2 linked regions of the Caenorhabditis elegans genome follow. The protein of the gene in region 2 interacts with the protein of the main gene of each other region in a pairwise test. Each region holds a gene or a part of one and is shown on either strand. Other genes may lie near its edges.

Region 1 (8,963 bases), 2.8 Mb from region 2:
CGGATCCTTCGTCCATTAAGCCGAGAGTCAATAAGGCGAAGATCAAAAAGTTGAAGAACAAGCTTGTGAGTTTTTACGTTATCGATTTTTAAAAATATTGATTTTCTATGAATTATCGATTTTTTCACAAAATATCGATTTTCTATAGATTATCGATTTTTTAAATACCGATTTTTTATAAAAGTTCGATTGTTCGCAAAATATAGATTTTTTATAGATTATCGATTTTTTTTACAAAATATTGTTTTTTATAAATTATCGATTTTTTTTATTAGTGATTTTCAATAAATTATCGATTTTTCAAACATTGATTTTCTATAGATTATCGATTTTTAAAATATTGATTTTTTTTACAAAATATCGATTTTCTATAGATTATCGATTTTTTTCTAAATATTGATTTTCTATAAACTATCGATTTTATTAAAATTATTGATTTTCCATAGATTATCGATATATACATTTTTAATTTATCGATTTTCTCCCCACTATTGTGCAAAATATTCCTCCCAAGAAATCTTCAAATATTTCCAGAAAAACGCGAAAATCGTCTACTGGACAATGCTCGGAATTTGGACGATTTGTCTGGTTTTATTCGTTCTCGTTTACTTCAGTATTTTCCCGCTTTAAATAAAACAGTTTGGGTGGAAAATGAATAAAGATATTGGATTTTTCGTTCGATTTTGTGTTGTTCTTCAAAATATAGATTTTCAATAAAAACTATTGATTTTTCAACAAAAAATAATATTGATTTTCTTTCAGTGTTCGATTTTTCAGGAATACAATTATCGATTTATTTTAAATTATTGATTTTTCATAGATTATCGATTATTTTTTAAATATTGAAAAAAAATGATCGATTTTCAAACATTGAGCCATAATGAATTTTTGATTTTTTAAATATTGATTTTTCATAGATTATCGATTTTTTTTTAAATATTGATTTTCTAAAATTATCAATTTTTAAAAATACTGGTTTTATAAGATTTATCAATTAAAAAACTGATTCGTAGCAAATTAACAATGTTTCAAAAATAGAGATTTTTTTATAAACAATCGATTTTTTAATTATTGATTTTCTATAAACTATCGATTTTTTGAAAATATCAATTTTCAAAAAAATGATCGATTTTTAGAATATTGATTTTTCGAATATTACTGACTTTCTATTAATTATCGATTTTTCAGAAATATTGATTTTGAATAAATTATTGATTTTTTAATATTTCGATTTTCTTTCAAAAATTTCAAAAAAAAAAAATTAAAGCCATTTATTATCGATTTGACAGGATTGGACAGTAAGGAAAAATATGAACATTAGTAGGCATCTCTGGATGTGCCAAATGAATACAACCCGTGTGAGTAGGTCAAAAAACTGACAGGAAAAGTCGAGAAAAGTAAACGTTTTGAAAAAAATGAAATTGATTGGAAAAAAAAAACGTAGAAGTTTGCCCGTATCGTAATAGATTAGAAGAACGATGGAGGACTGGAATCAAGCAGTTTCCTGTTGTTGACACGTGTCACAGGAATCGATTTTCTCGTCGAACGGCTCCACTTGGACAGTGGCGACGGCAACTCCGAATCGCCGGCGGATCAGGGAACGGGCTTCGGCAACATTTTCCATGGCGCGGTTAGGAGATTCTGGAATATTGGAAGAGTTAGAAAAATATATTTTTATTAAATATTAAAATTCAATATCATGAAAGGCAGCACTTTTCCCTTGCAGAACATTCCAGGAAATTTCCAGAAAACTTTGAATTTCCCGCCAAAATTGTTTCTCAAAAAATTTGAATTTCCCTTCAAAATTCTCATTTAAAAATTTGAATTTCCCACCAAAAATCATTGGAAAAAATTGAATTTTTTTGCCAATTTTTTTAGAGCACATCTGAATTTTTTTTCAAAAGTTTCATTTAAAAAATTTGAATTTCTCGCCAAAACTGTTATTGAAAATTTTGAATTTATCTTCAAAACTTCAATAGCACGTGGTGTCAGGCTGTCTCATTGCGGCTTGATCTACTACAAATGCGGGAATATTTTTACAGAAAAATTGTCAGCACGCTCTTAACCATGCGAAGTCAGATGAGATGTATGCGTCTCAACTCCCGCATTTTTTGAAGATCAAATCGAAATAAGACATTCTGACCCCACGTGCAACAGAGAGACAATTTGAATTTCCTGCCAAAAAATTTTTAAAGGAAAACTCGATTTCCCGGCAAATTTTTCGAAAGAAAATTGTTTGAATTCCCGCCAAAAATTTTATAGCCAAAGTTTGAATTTGCCGCCAAAACTAACAGTTTAAAATTTTGAATTTCCCGCCAAAATTCCTATAAAAAATGTTCGAATTTCCCGTTAAAAATTATTCTCAGAAGATTTAAATTTCCTCCAAAATCTTTATATCAAAACTTTGAATTTCCCGCCAAAAATTATTCAGAAAATTTAAATTTCATTCAAAGTTTTTCAGAGAAAATTTGAAATTTTTAAAATCCAATTTTTGCTCTAAATTGAATTTCCCTTCAAAATTTTCATTTAAAATTTTGAATTTCCGGCCAAAAATTGATTGAATAAATTTGCATTTATATCCACAATATATATTTAAATTATTTGAATTTCCCGGTAGAAACTTCAATGGAAAAATTTGAATTCCCCGCCAAAATTATTTTTTAAAAATTTGAAATTCCCGGCAAACATTTTTAAAAGTAAATTTGAATTCCCGCCAAAATAACTATTGAAAAATTTGAATTCCCGCCAAAATCTTTATTGAAAAATTTCAATTTTCCGCCAAAATTTTCTCAGTTTTACTCAAAACTCCAAAATGAGAAGCCACTCACCAAGTGCCAAATGCACCGAAAACGCAGTCTTATCCATTCCAATAGACCATAAATGCAAATCATGAACACCTTTTACACCTTCCAACGCACTCAACGCCTTCTTCACATCACTCAAGTCATAGTGGCTCGGTGTGGCTTCCATCAAAACGAAAAAGATGTCCCGCATAACTGTAACCGTCGTGAAGAGCACGATAATCGAGAAAAGGAATGTGCAAATCGGATCGGCAAGTGTCCATCCGGTAAACCTAATGATAAGGGCAGCAATCAGGACTCCAATGGATTGCACCAAATCTCCAATGACATGAATCAGAGCAGCTCTAACATTCACATTCTTTCCATCATGAGCATGTCCATGACTTGAGTGTCCTCCATGAGTGTGCCCATGACCTCCAGTTCCGAAGTGCAACACCAATCCCATAACGATATTAAAAAGGACTCCGACGCCCGCGGTGATGAGCATCACATCAGCATCCACCTCATGCTCATTGTTCACAATTCGCTGAATAGCGACGACGACGAGCACTGTCGTGAGCACCCAGAGAATGATCACAGACGTCAGAGCACCAAGAACTTCGGCTCGCTCGTAACCGAATGAAAGACGCTTCGATGCGGGAAGACGTGCACAACGAATCGCAAAAATTGAGATGATGAATGAGAGAAGATCACTGAGCATGTGTCCGGCGTCTGTCATAATTGCTAGCGATTGAGCCCAGAATCCACCGACGAACTCGGCGGCGATGAAGACTGCGGATAGTGCTGCAACTGCCCATAGCACTTTTTCTGCTCGGCGACCCTGGAAACGAGAAATATTAGTTGGAAAATCCAAACAAAAAATTTTATGTCCATTTTTTTTTTGGCGAAAAAATGTTTTTTTTTAAAGTTATACACTGTGTTTTTAAAAAAATTACTACTAAAATTGTGCGGTAACACTGAATTCTGAGAATGCATGTGGTGCCAGGCTGTCTGTCCCATTACGGTTTGATCTACAAAAAATGCGGGAATATTTTGCCCAAAAAATGTGACGTCAGCACGAACTCTGCGTCTCTTCTCCCGCATTTTTTGTAGATCTACGTAGATAAAGCCGAAATGAGACATTCTGACATCACGTGAGACTGCGTATTGCACAACATATCTGACGCGCAAAATATCTCGTAGTAATTCAGTAATTCAATAAATTACTACTTTAGCGCAGTTTTTCTTTGCTTTTTCGTATTATCTTTGTTTTCATTCTTTGCTTAATTTTGATATTATATCGATAAATCTATGAACATAGAGCCGCGTAAATCGACACTACAGTAGTCATTCAAAGAATTACTGTAGTTTTCGCGTCGAAATATTTTGCGCGTCAAATAATGTTTTGATTTTTTCAGAAAAATATTCAAATGTATAAATTCTTGTCATATTTTTTGCGTTTTTTTTTCGCATTTTTGTCAAAAAAACGTCCCGCTAACTGAAAAATGCCTTGATTTTTATATATTTCAAATAAAATTGCAATTTTTCAAGAACATTTTCAGGGAAACTAATTTAAATTTGGAAAAAAAATCAGTTATTGAAATTTTCGACACTTTTCCAATATTTTTCAACATTTTAGGATGAAATATTCAATTCACAGGAAGTCGTCGTATTGCTAGATATTTGTGGGCGGCAAACGATTTTTTCCGGCAAATCGCCAAATTGCCGGAATTGAAAATTTTTGGCAAATCGGCAAATCGACAAATTGCCGGAATTGAAATTTCCGGCAAATCGACAAATTGCCGGAATTGAAAATTTCCGGCAAATCGACAAATTGCCGAAATTGAACATTTCTGGCAAATCGACAAATTGCCGGCAAATCGGCAAATCGACAAATTGCCGGAATTGAAAATTGCCGGCAAATCGGCGAATTGCCGGAATTGGAAATTTCCGACAAATCGTCAAATTACCGGAATTGAAAATTTCCGGCAAATCGGCAAATTGCCGGAGTTGAAAATTTCCTCTGATATGTATAATTGCGAGCTCGTGTTTTGGCTTGATTTTAAAAAAAACACATTTTTATGCTAAAATGGTCGATTTTGGGCTTTTTACATAGATAGCAATAATTAAAATTAAAAGCAACATTTTTTGAAAAATTTAGTTTTAATATAATGGTCATTTTAATAGAGGTAAAAGTTGAGCCATGTTGCAAAAAAATTTGCTATGTACCTTTTGATATTTCTCATCATGACTATGCTTATGCGCTCCTCCTCCTGCTCCACTACAATCCGAAGAGGAATCATCATTATTGTGTGTGTGTGAGTGCCCATGACCCCCATGAGAGTGCCCATGCCCATGACCGTGATGATGGTGGTCAATAGAGTCGGCAGATACTCCAGAATCCGAAGAGGACACCGACTGGGTGTCCTCTTCGATGTTGGCGGGCAGGTTGGATGAGGAAGAGTCACGTTTGTCACTGGATAGGCGGATTGATGACGGAGATATCATTGAGATTGTCATAGTTCTAGAGATTTCAAAAAATATATTTAACGGGAATTAAGAGAAATGAGTACGGCACGTGTATGTGTGTCAGGCTGTCCCATCAAGGTTTGATCTACCAAAAATTCCCGCAATTTTTGTAGATTTTCGTAGATCAAAACGACGTGGGACACTCTGACAAGAGCAGCGAAATTTCAAAATGAAAAACTTAGTTACTTAGTTCCGCGATTTTTTTTGTTGTCCCCTTTCAAAGAACAACACAAAGACTGGGGAGCGGTGGAATGCGTTTTGACAAACAAATAAACAAGACAAAAATGGGGTGAAAAAAGAGAATAAGGAACACAATAAACAGGAGAATAGGAAAAGGAAATGGAGAACAAAATTGAATATGGGAAAACGTTCTGGCTGATAGGAAAAAAAGGAAAAAAATTGAGTGGGAAGGAAGGTCGCAAGATTTTTTTATGCAAATTTTTAAAAATCAAAGATCTTTCGAGTCATGCAGGAATTTGTTTTTTTTTTGGATATGAAGCTCCAAGAGCTCCGCGAGCCAGCTTACTTTTGGACGTATTTCAATAGAAATACATTTTTTTCTAAAATTAGATTCTTATGAAAAAGTTAGTACTTTGAATTGAAAAATTCGAAGGTTTTCAGTGCATTTTTTAAAGTTTCAAAGCCAGTGAAATTTCGTGAATATTTTCAAAATCTGTATTTTTTTGGATTTTTTTCCAAAAAATTTTTTTTTAATTTTCAGTTATTTTTCAAAAAATACCGACTTAAATGCCAGATTTTTTTTCTTCAAATTTCATCGTTTAATTCAAAAAAAATCCGGCAATTTTTAGATTAAAAAGAATAGAAAAAAAAATATTTTTTGCCTTAAAAAAGTTTAGAAAATTTTCAAAAAATCGAAAAATTTTATATTTTATTTTTCAAAAATACAATTTCTGAAAAAAACCTCAAGTGGTTCTTAAATTAGGTAAACATTTAATTTTAAGCTTCTACAACTTTTATGAAAAAAATTTTGACATAAAATTTTCAAAAAAAAATCAGTTTTAACAAGATAAAAAGAAATTAGCTTGAAAACTCCGCTTTGCACAAATTTTTAAGTTTTTTGGAAAAAAATTCCAGGAAAAAGTTATATGAAAAACCAAAAAATTCATGCCAAAAGTTCAAAAAAGCAAAAAAGCAAACAAATTCTTACAAAAAATTGGAAACTTTTCAACAGAAAAAAAAACTTCAAAAAAAATTCTTATTGCTTTCTGCAAAGCAATAAGAATTGCAAGACTGAAAATGTGAGGCATTCAAAAAAAATTCACAAGCGCATAATAAGAAACACGAGGAGAGAGATTATAGATAGTCAATGAAGGAAAAGCAGAAGAAGAACCAGATTGTATTTCCTGCCATCAAGCATCTATCTATCTAGCAAAAACGAGAGACTTGCAAGTGAAAAGTGAAGGAAAAAAAAAACGATTTTGATCTACCTCCCTGTAAACGAGGCGAAAGTGTAAAAATTATTGTTAAGCTACTGGGAATTTAATTAATTTTAATTTACAGACTTTGGCAGACTTCTAGAAAATAAAAAGGTGAAACAAAACTTTGGTCAAGATCGTTTGATGTGCCGTTTATGTAGGCGAGAGATGGACATAAGACTGCCTCTAAATGGTCTTCTGAATTCAAAAAGACACAAATTCTATGTCTTGAACTTCAAAAAATAAGTTGAGAAAATGTAAAGATCAAGTATTTTGTGTTTTCATCCATCAAAAATCCTTCAAAAATCTCAGAAAAAAGTTGTTGAAAATTTGAATTTTTTGGGGTCGAATTTCCGGTATTCTCTACTTTTTGGCTACATTATTATTTTTTCGACAAACTCCCAGAAAAGTTGTGGAAACTAGGGAGGAACTACAAAAAAAAAGGTACAAATTTTCAGGGCTTGAATTGAACTTTTTCAAACTAGTTGGGGAAAGAAGGAGTCAACAAAATAATTAGTGATTTTTTAGAACTCATCAGAATTTTTACAAAAACATTTTACTTAGGCTTAAGATGAGGCTAATGCTTAGGCTTAGGCGTAGGCCTAGGCTTAGGCTTAAGCTTCAAATTAATTTGTGTTCAAAAATTGTGATCTACAAGATTCTTAGGAAAAAAATAAGAATCCTTTAAAAAAATCATCTTCTGATCGCTTGATCTCTGATTTTAATACAATTTATATATAAAAAAAATATTATTAGATGCCCTTTAAAAGGCTCATGTGATAACATAAGTAGCAACAATATCACGTGGAAAAATATTAGGTAATTTAAAAATATTTTCTAGAGAACTGAAGAAAGCAATAAAAGTGCAGAAAATGTGAAACGGAAATTGTTTCGAAAAAAGACAAAAAAAGAAAGAAAAAAAGGAGGCCGAGATGATTTACACACCTCCCACACATATGAGAAACTAGTTTTTTTTTGTTGGAAAAATGATAGAGTTGAGACAAAAAAAAAGAGAGATCAAGTAAAGTGAAAAGGACGTAATGTGAACCGAACTCTTTATCAGTATAGGTGTCTTAAAAAAGTGTCAGCATTTTCGTGATTAAATGTCGGGGCTTTTTCATAAAATTTATATACATGTCGACGGAGGAGGAGGAGGAGTGAAAGTGTGATAAGGGGGAGACGTCATTCTAGTTTGTGATACAGTTTCGTGAAATGTATTCCGGAGAAGTACTGCAATTAGAAATGACCTTATTAGGAGTGTGCGGCAATTGTGGCGAATTTGCCGCAAACACCTCAAATTGGATTTTAAAAAATTGACCGAAACTATTGATTTTGTTCAAAAAATTATAGTAAAAAAACATAAAATTGAGGTATTCAAAAATTAAACTTGTGCTAAGAATTTAGTAATTTTGGAGCTCCTAGAAATATCATTAAAACTTTTTAAAATTTTTTTTTGGAGTTTGCCGAGCTGGGCAAATTTTGACTCCTTATGATGGCTCAAAGAGCTTCAAAATTTAAAAATCTTGCCAAGGTCAGCGAGTTCACTCACAAAACTTATAGGATTAGTGAAAGGTTACTGTAAGAGCGCTTAGTAACGTAACCTGTGCAAAAAGATCTACTTTTAGCCACAGCGACCATGTCGTATTTTCTATATTAGTCTCGCACTTAAAGGTGCTTTAGTCAATTTTTTAAAAATTGCTTTATTAGACTCTATATTGTTTGAAAACACGAAATTTCATAATTAAACTTCTTTAAAACTTCTCAAAAAAAAGGTTATGGCGGCTCAAAAAATGACTTAAAATAGGTTAAAATTTGAAATTTGACAGACTTGTCAAGCGGCTGGAAACTATTTTTTTTTGAAATCACCGTCTAATTTTAGGTATGGAAATCAATTATTTTTCTTTTTCAACTCAACTTGAGTACAATTAAGGTCGAAGGATCACCAGATTTGGTAACTTGCGACATAGACAAGTTGGTCAAATTTCAAAATTCAACTAATTTGAGGTCATTTTTTGAGCCGCCATAACTTTTTTTAAAACTTTTTTCAGCATTTTTCAAAAAGTTTCATTATCAAATTCGGTGTTTTCTGACAATTTTGAGTCTAATAAACTTTACTGATATCTCAACCAATTAAAACTTTTTACTAAACAAAAATTAATAATAAAAACTTGGCAATTTTTGATCATTCCTAGGACCGCCAAGATGAATTTATGGGTTG
Region 2 (7,150 bases):
TTTTGTACTTTTTAAAAGATTTTGCTTTTCCTAGTATATTCTTACTATTCTGATTTAAAAATTAACAGCTCATAGATCACCTTTCAAGATTAAAAAACTCACTGTAGTACCAGATAATGTTCTTGGAGGAGCTCTACGAATATTACTCCATCTTTCTAATTCTTTTCTTGATGATAGACTCTTTTGAAATCCTTGCAGCAGACCAAATTGTTCTTCATGAGAATTTGAGCATTTACTACTTGGAGCATTTCGATATCTTGTCAGAAGTTCAATTGGAATACATTTATCGGATCCTAGTGGTCGAAATGTTCCCAGCTTACAGACACATCGCCAAGTTCCACCGATTATCTGAAGTTTAAAACTTTAATGTTTTAAACAATTTTTTTGATACTTCTCTTGCAACTTCCCAAGTAAATTGCCAAAATGTTTTACTAGAGTTTTTAGAGTTTTTGAAGAACATCATTTCGAAATTATTGTGTGCTCAGTTAAATTTTCAAAAAATTTAAACTTCCAGCCAAACATTTTTTAAAGAAAATTTGTATTTCCCGCCAAAATTATTCCTACTTGGTTTGAAATGTTTTAGTAAAAAACTTGTGTAAACCTTACCACACAAACTTGTCCTAACTCAGGCTTGCACGGATTCTTTCCTGAGCAAAATTTAAGTTTTCCCAAAGAAAGTGAATTGGTCGCAATGTTGACTTTATTGTTTCTCGTGCAATTAGCTGTAAATAAATTATTCCATTTCATTTTTCAAAATCCTTTAGAATTTTCAAAATGCTCACCTGTCAACGTTTTATTGATAAACTCATCGGAACCATCTTCACAATCCCAGTTTCCATCCATTATAAAAGTATCAGAAACACATTTAATGGTTCCACATTGGCATGCAAATTGAGATGTAGTACATTCTTCATCTGAACCATCATCACAATCTTCTTTTCCATCTTGAAATTGAGCTTTTGGAATACATTTTGTGCCATCCGAGCATTGGAATTGATTCTGTGCGCATGCTGAAAAACATTTTTTAGGGGTTTGGTTTTTATATTCAGGTGGTGTTTTTTGAATTTTAGGAGTAGCGCAATGTCTTGATAAACTTGAAAAAAAAATTTTCAAAAAAGTATGCCCACTTTTTGCAACTTTCTTGTTTTTTTGGCAAATGTTTTTGGGATTTTTTTTTGTATCTGGATTAAAAAACATTAAATCAGTTTCAAAAATTATTTTAATTTATCTCTATTTTAGAGCTCATCAAGTGCAATGTTCTTAATTTTATTGTATTTTTTTTAATGAAATTTCATTTACGCAGAAAATATGTAACATTTTTGAATAATTTATTTTTCGGTTTTTCAAACTAAATAATTGTTATTTCCCTTTCTTAAACATATTGCAACAATAATTTCATAATGTATACATTGTTTTCCCTTCCCATACACAATTAACCTTGAATATCATCACTCACGTTCATCCGACTTATCTTTACAATCAGCAACACCATTAAGATATTTCGATGGTTCAATGCATGCACTTCTATCTCGACACACAAAATAGTGAGCAGGACATCCTTCGTCGAAACCAGAATAACAATCGATCTTTTTGTCGTGCAATTTGTTTTTTGAAATACATCGAGGTGATCCAAACTGACAGTCGAATTGCCATGGCAGGCACACTGTAAAATGGGATTAGGTTCTTGGCGGGGGATTGCAAAAAAGAAAATACCCTGTTGGCATTTTTTCAATTCGATTATCGTGTTGCGGTTAGGTAAGCTTTTTTGTGAATATTTAGAATTTAAAAATTCTAATAAAATAAATTACCAACATTTTTTTTATCGTTTTTATCAAAACATTGTAGAGACTCAAACATAGGACTTTGTTCCAAACTTTTCAAAAATTCCAAAATTAGTCCACTGTCATTTAATTTTAGTTTTTGAAATAGCCAACTTCTGATATATATTTAAAAGTGGCCACTTTTATCAAAACTTTTTGGAAAATGTACTCCGTTTTCCACGGAACTGTGCTAAAGTTTTACACCGGAACAGAAATTTTAAATCAAAAAAATTGGTACTTTTTGATAATAAATTTACTTTGAATTGAAAAACTTTTGCTCAAATCTTACCGCAAAGTCACAATGATATCCTAATGTAATTGGTCGATCGGCACATAGAGGCTTTCAGGCAGATTTGATCAATTTTTTGAAATTTTTAATTCAAAGTAAAGCTGTTTTCAGGAAGTAAAAATATTTTTCTATAATTTTGTGTTACCTTTCAGTAATTGCAGTAAAAATGTGCATACCTCTGACTTCCGAACCAATTCTACAGTTTTTTTTTAATAGTTACATTTCAGACCATACACAAATTTGCTCAATTAGTCAACACAGTGACTTGTAAATGAAATACAACCTAAAGGCAATTATCTTGTTCTCCTCGATAGGCCCGTTGTATGGGTTTCACGACCTTTTCAAGGAACTGGTGTCACTTGAGTTGCATTGAAACGAAAGGGAAGGTCAAACCAATTAAATTTGAATATCTTAATATCCATGTGTCTTTCGGAATTCGACTTATTTTGATCAAATGAAAGGGAAAAAGACGTACATTTTTACGGTCACTGTTCTTGATTTTTTTTGGAAGGTATTCAAAGATATATATTACGCTCGAATGACACAATCACACTAGGATGAATAAGGGGAGGCTCTGGAGGAAAAGAATACGTCTAATTACCGAATACGGTCTAATTGCGGCTGTGGTGCGTACGCGCGTTGAGGCACGAAGGTGCGGGTACTCATCAAAAAACGATCTGAAGAGTGCATAGAGAAACATTTGAAGTGGTTACTTACTAAAAAGGTATCTAGTCCGAGTAATGGTGTTATTATATTTTTTGAAAAAAAACACACACACAGCAAAAAGAAGTAGGACAACCTAAATTTAGTTTTTTTGGATTCTAGGTTATTAAGTTTAGAAAAGACGTCAGAGTTCATGAAATCTAGGTTTGCAGAAAAATTGGGGGTTTTGGACTTTTCAGATTTAGTGAAAATGAATTTTGAATAAAATACTTTTTTTTCAAAAGAAAATCCCCCTTTGAAAATTTTGGCAATTTTTCCAAGAGTATAAAGTTATTTTTTATATTTACAGGAAAGTATTTCCGCATATTTTGCAATTTTTAATAATAAGCCTCGGCTTCATAAACTTATGGAGTTTTCGGAGCAAAAGCTTTAAAAAGAATTGAAACAAACCGGAAAATTTCTCACCGGCTTTGAAAAAAAACTAAAATGCGAGAAAAAAGAAAAAAAGACAGTTATTAATTTTGTCTTATACATTGTCTCGGAAAACCGTGATAATTTTTTTTGGGAGTAGGACGTCACTGGAACTGTTTTAAATGTGAGGCCAGTGGGATATTATAATAAAACTTTTCGCTTTTCACACATAAATTTAAATAATTTATTTTGTTTCAAAAAGTGTTAATTGCTCAGTTTTTGCAACGTTTTTGGAAGCCACCGATCAAAAGAAAAATTTCCATCGGATTTTGTGGTTTGGAAAATTTTTATTTCGAGTAAGTCAAAAAAATGAACAAATAAAATTTCCTTCCAGTTTTGAAAAGTTTTAGAATCCTTTGAAAATGACTTGCTTTCAAGTTTTTGCATGTTTGCGTAGGGTAATTGACAGCTGGTTGAATATTTCAAAAAACTTTTAGAAATCGCCAGTATTCAAATAATTTAAAAATCACCTTCATCACTTCCATCATAGCAATCATCAACTCCATCTTGCCATTTTTTCATTGAAATACAAGAATCATCCATTTTGCATTGAAATTCTTCTCGAGCAACACAGCTTGTGGAATTCGAGCAGTTTACAAAAAATATAGGAATGTGTAAAAAGAGAAAAAATATTGAAATTCCAGCCTGCATTGTTATGCGGGTGTTATGTTGTCAAAAAAAAGTAATCTCATCTATCTCGAAGTAGTATATAGTTACGCCGGTTCGGTGAAGGCTGGCAGCAAGTCCGCAAAAGACAACCAGTCTCTTTTAGAGGCGGGGCTAACCGGAATGAGATGGAACAGACGGAAGAAGAAGGGCACTGTGCGTAGGAAAAGATGGAGAAGAAGAAGAAGAAGAATGGTTTAGGTATGTAGTTGTATATATCCATACGTCTTCTTCCTTCCGTCAAATGAGTTTAGGAACACTACTTATTCAAATCATTATGCGACGTTCTATTGTTTCATTTACCTTTTTGAATTACCCGCATTGTCTTATTGAAAAATGAAAGGTATCTTCTATTAACTTGACTTTTTTTTCGTTTGATGCTAGGATTAAATTTAAACATCGGCTATCAGCACAATTAATTTGTTATGTGTATAAGGAACCACGCAGCAATGGCATTATGCACGCACAAAATTGGGCACATTTTGCGTCGTGGAAAATTATGGTCTAGAAATTTTGTGACTACAGTTTTCAGGTTGTAATTTTAAATTTGCAGAGCTGGGCTCTAGTATATTAATTAGTTTTTTGGCGTTCAGTAGGGTGTCGCAAAATGAAAATTTTGGAGCAAATGATTGTATTTATCTACTCGTAACATTTTTACAGTTAATGCTCAGAAGTGATGATTTTCGAAGCTTAAATACACAACCTGACATGTATCTAAGTGCTGCAAAGAGCTAGATTTCAATAATTAATTGAATACAAGTTTTACTAATGATAAAAGCACGTGTTGTCAGAGTGCCCCATTTCGGTTTGATCTACATAGATCTACGAGAATTGCGGGAATTTGAACGCAGACTTCGCTTTTAATTTCGCATGGTTAAAAACGTGTTGATGTCACATTTTTTAGGAAAAACTTCCCGCATTTTTGTAGATCAAACCGAAATTGGTCAGCCTGGCACCACATGTAAAAGGAAAATTAGATGTTCGAAAAATTGAGTTCATTTTCAAAAAAAAAAACAAAAAGTTTCCAGATATTTTTCCATCCTTTAAACTCAATTATTGAAAAATTGCAAAAATGAGGCTTACTTTAGAGAAATTCTATACAGCCCGAGAATTGGGAATATTGAACTGGAAATACTTCAGAGCGAAATTTCGGTGGGTAGAAGTTGAGTTTTGTTAAAGTAAAATAAAATACTTTTGATAATCTAGTCTAACCGTAACGGCTTAAATGGATCTGAGGCCTGTCAAATTCACACTGTTCCGGGAAAGTTTGAATGTTTTGTATTTTTCTGTAAAAAATCTAGATATCCTCCAGGAATTTATCTATTACAAATTCACTTTTTTGATGTTTGATCATGTTCTCTTTTTCTTTCAGATTTTCCAAATCACAAGTTTAATAAATATTTTTCAGTGATGTCTCAAAGTACATACGGATTGCTCAGCTCAAACCGTTTCTCGGTCAAATTGAATTAATTCAATTTCTGATTTCCATGAAGAAAACCTCTTGAGCAATACGGTTTTCAACGCACAAGCCCGCCTTTTGTAATTGTAATCCAAACCTTTTTGATGACACCCGAACTGTATTGTATTACATACATACACACCCTTTTCTACAGTGCTATTGTTTTCCGAGTTATGCATATAAACCATATGTTCTTTTCTTGGCCAACCAGGGAGTTTTTTCTGGGTTTCCTATACCTCTGCATACATAAATAATTAGAAGGATGGAACAATTTGGAGAGAACATAAATTTACATTACCTCCTTCCTTGAAAAACCATTAAACTTAAGTGATTTGCATTGCATCCCGTCGTTCTTCCGTTCTCGGGGGGTTGAGAATACTAATGGCATTATTCGAATACACGGTCCTTCATATGGGAAGGTCATTTACAATGAATTTTAACGAACATACAAATGCATTAACTGTATAGATTCAGGTAAAACCATTGAAAATGATTTTTAAAGAAAAAACGAAAAAAAAATCGATTAAGTTTGAAGTAAGTTGGTGCAAAAATTTCCTGAAATTAAAATTTCAAACTACTTTGCTTCAAAATTGATAGGTAATACATTTTTATTACACAACATATTAATACATAATTTATACATTTATACATTTAATACACATTGCATAAGTTTTTGAAAAATTAGGAAAAATTTCAAAACTTTTTTATTTGAACTTCCATTTTTGCGATTTATTTGACTTTTTCCTGTTTTTCAGAAATTAGTTAACGATGTAGATTTTCCAAACTTTAAAAATGAATATCTGGCTTCAAACTAACTTTTTCAAAAATCCCTGTAGCTATTTTGTTGCAAATTTTGTGTTCTTTCAGAATTTAAAAACTAAATTTAAAAAAGTTTCATATCCGCTAAGTTCAAGCAGAAAAAGTGGATATTTAATCATACATTTCAGTGCACAATTTGAAATTGATTAAACCGACCATTTATATGCAAAATTAGTAGTTTTTCCAATTTTTAAAAATTAATATCTGGCTTCAAACTAACTTTTTCAAAAATCCCTGTAGCCATTTTGTTGCAAATTTTGTGTTCTTTCAGAATTTAAAAACTAAATTTTTAAAAAAATTATATCTGCTGAGTTCAAGCAGAAAAAGTGGATTTTCAGTCATTCCCTCAGAGCCCAATTTGATATTGATCTTTACCGACCATTTACATGCAAAATTAGTTTTTTTCAGAATTTAAAAACTAATTTTATATCTTAAAATTGTTTTCTTTTTAGTTTTAAAATTTCAAAAACTGACGCTTTTCACCGGTGAATGCATTTATTTTAATTCAAAAATACACAAAAATGCGGAGCAAAGTAGTTTATAAATTCACCAGGGAAGACGATAAGCTTCAAGAAGTAAAACCGAGTAAGAAAACGAATCTACATTCTAGATAACACAGCAAGAAAAGAAAAATAAACGGTTTGTAATAGAAGATCTGTTAAGTTGTTTTTTGAAATTTCAAGTTTTTTTTGATGATGGGGTGAGCGTTTGCAACAAGTGTGATTTGACTGAAGTTCCCGTAACAAGAATGACTAAGTCATGTAGATGTTTGAGAAATGGTTCTGGGTGTGGGAAGAGGCAAAGGAAGAGGATGACCAAAAAAGGTTGAATCAGAATACCCAGAAGAAGATAGACATCCTAAGGAATGTATGGAACAAGATAAGAGCAAGAGAAAAGAGAAAAAAGATGGTAAGAAAATGGAAGTAACAATTAAAAAGTAGGTGAAGAATGTGTCTATTGTTG

What was found. The genes of interacting proteins can lie anywhere in the genome.
Region 1: the proteins of mua-3 (region 2) and ttm-1 interact in a two-hybrid assay, tested with the Caenorhabditis elegans proteins (one large-scale study listed by BioGRID).

What each region holds. Positions count from the first base shown.
Region 1 is NC_003281.10:12,951,713-12,960,675, forward strand, and holds ttm-1 (Zinc transporter ttm-1), read right to left. Parts: upstream 5,460-8,963; 5' UTR 5,301-5,459; coding exon 5,010-5,300; intron 3,622-5,009; coding exon 2,829-3,621; intron 1,642-2,828; coding exon 1,493-1,641; 3' UTR 1,257-1,492; downstream 1-1,256. Other genes in the region: Y39E4A.1 (uncharacterized protein), read left to right, coding at 1-65, 535-630. UniProt on the Caenorhabditis elegans protein: Promotes excretion of zinc from intestinal cells into the intestinal lumen in response to increased dietary zinc. Involved in cadmium resistance, possibly by promoting its transport from cells.
Region 2 is NC_003281.10:10,157,441-10,164,590, reverse strand, and holds the start of mua-3 (Transmembrane cell adhesion receptor mua-3), read right to left. Parts: upstream 3,895-7,150; coding exon 3,714-3,894; intron 2,704-3,713; exon of another isoform or gene 2,488-2,703; intron 1,664-2,487; coding exon 1,457-1,663; intron 1,011-1,456; coding exon 783-1,010; intron 723-782; coding exon 607-722; intron 349-606; coding exon 103-348; intron 1-102. Other genes in the region: K08E5.5 (uncharacterized protein), read left to right, coding at 4,246-4,252, 5,318-5,379; nac-3 (Sodium-dependent high-affinity dicarboxylate transporter 3), read right to left, coding at 7,142-7,150. UniProt on the Caenorhabditis elegans protein: Involved in cell adhesion and required for organ positioning and attachment. At the hypodermal surface, required for attachment of the hypdermermis to the basal cuticle in postembryonic development, possibly through intermediate filaments of the cytoskeleton.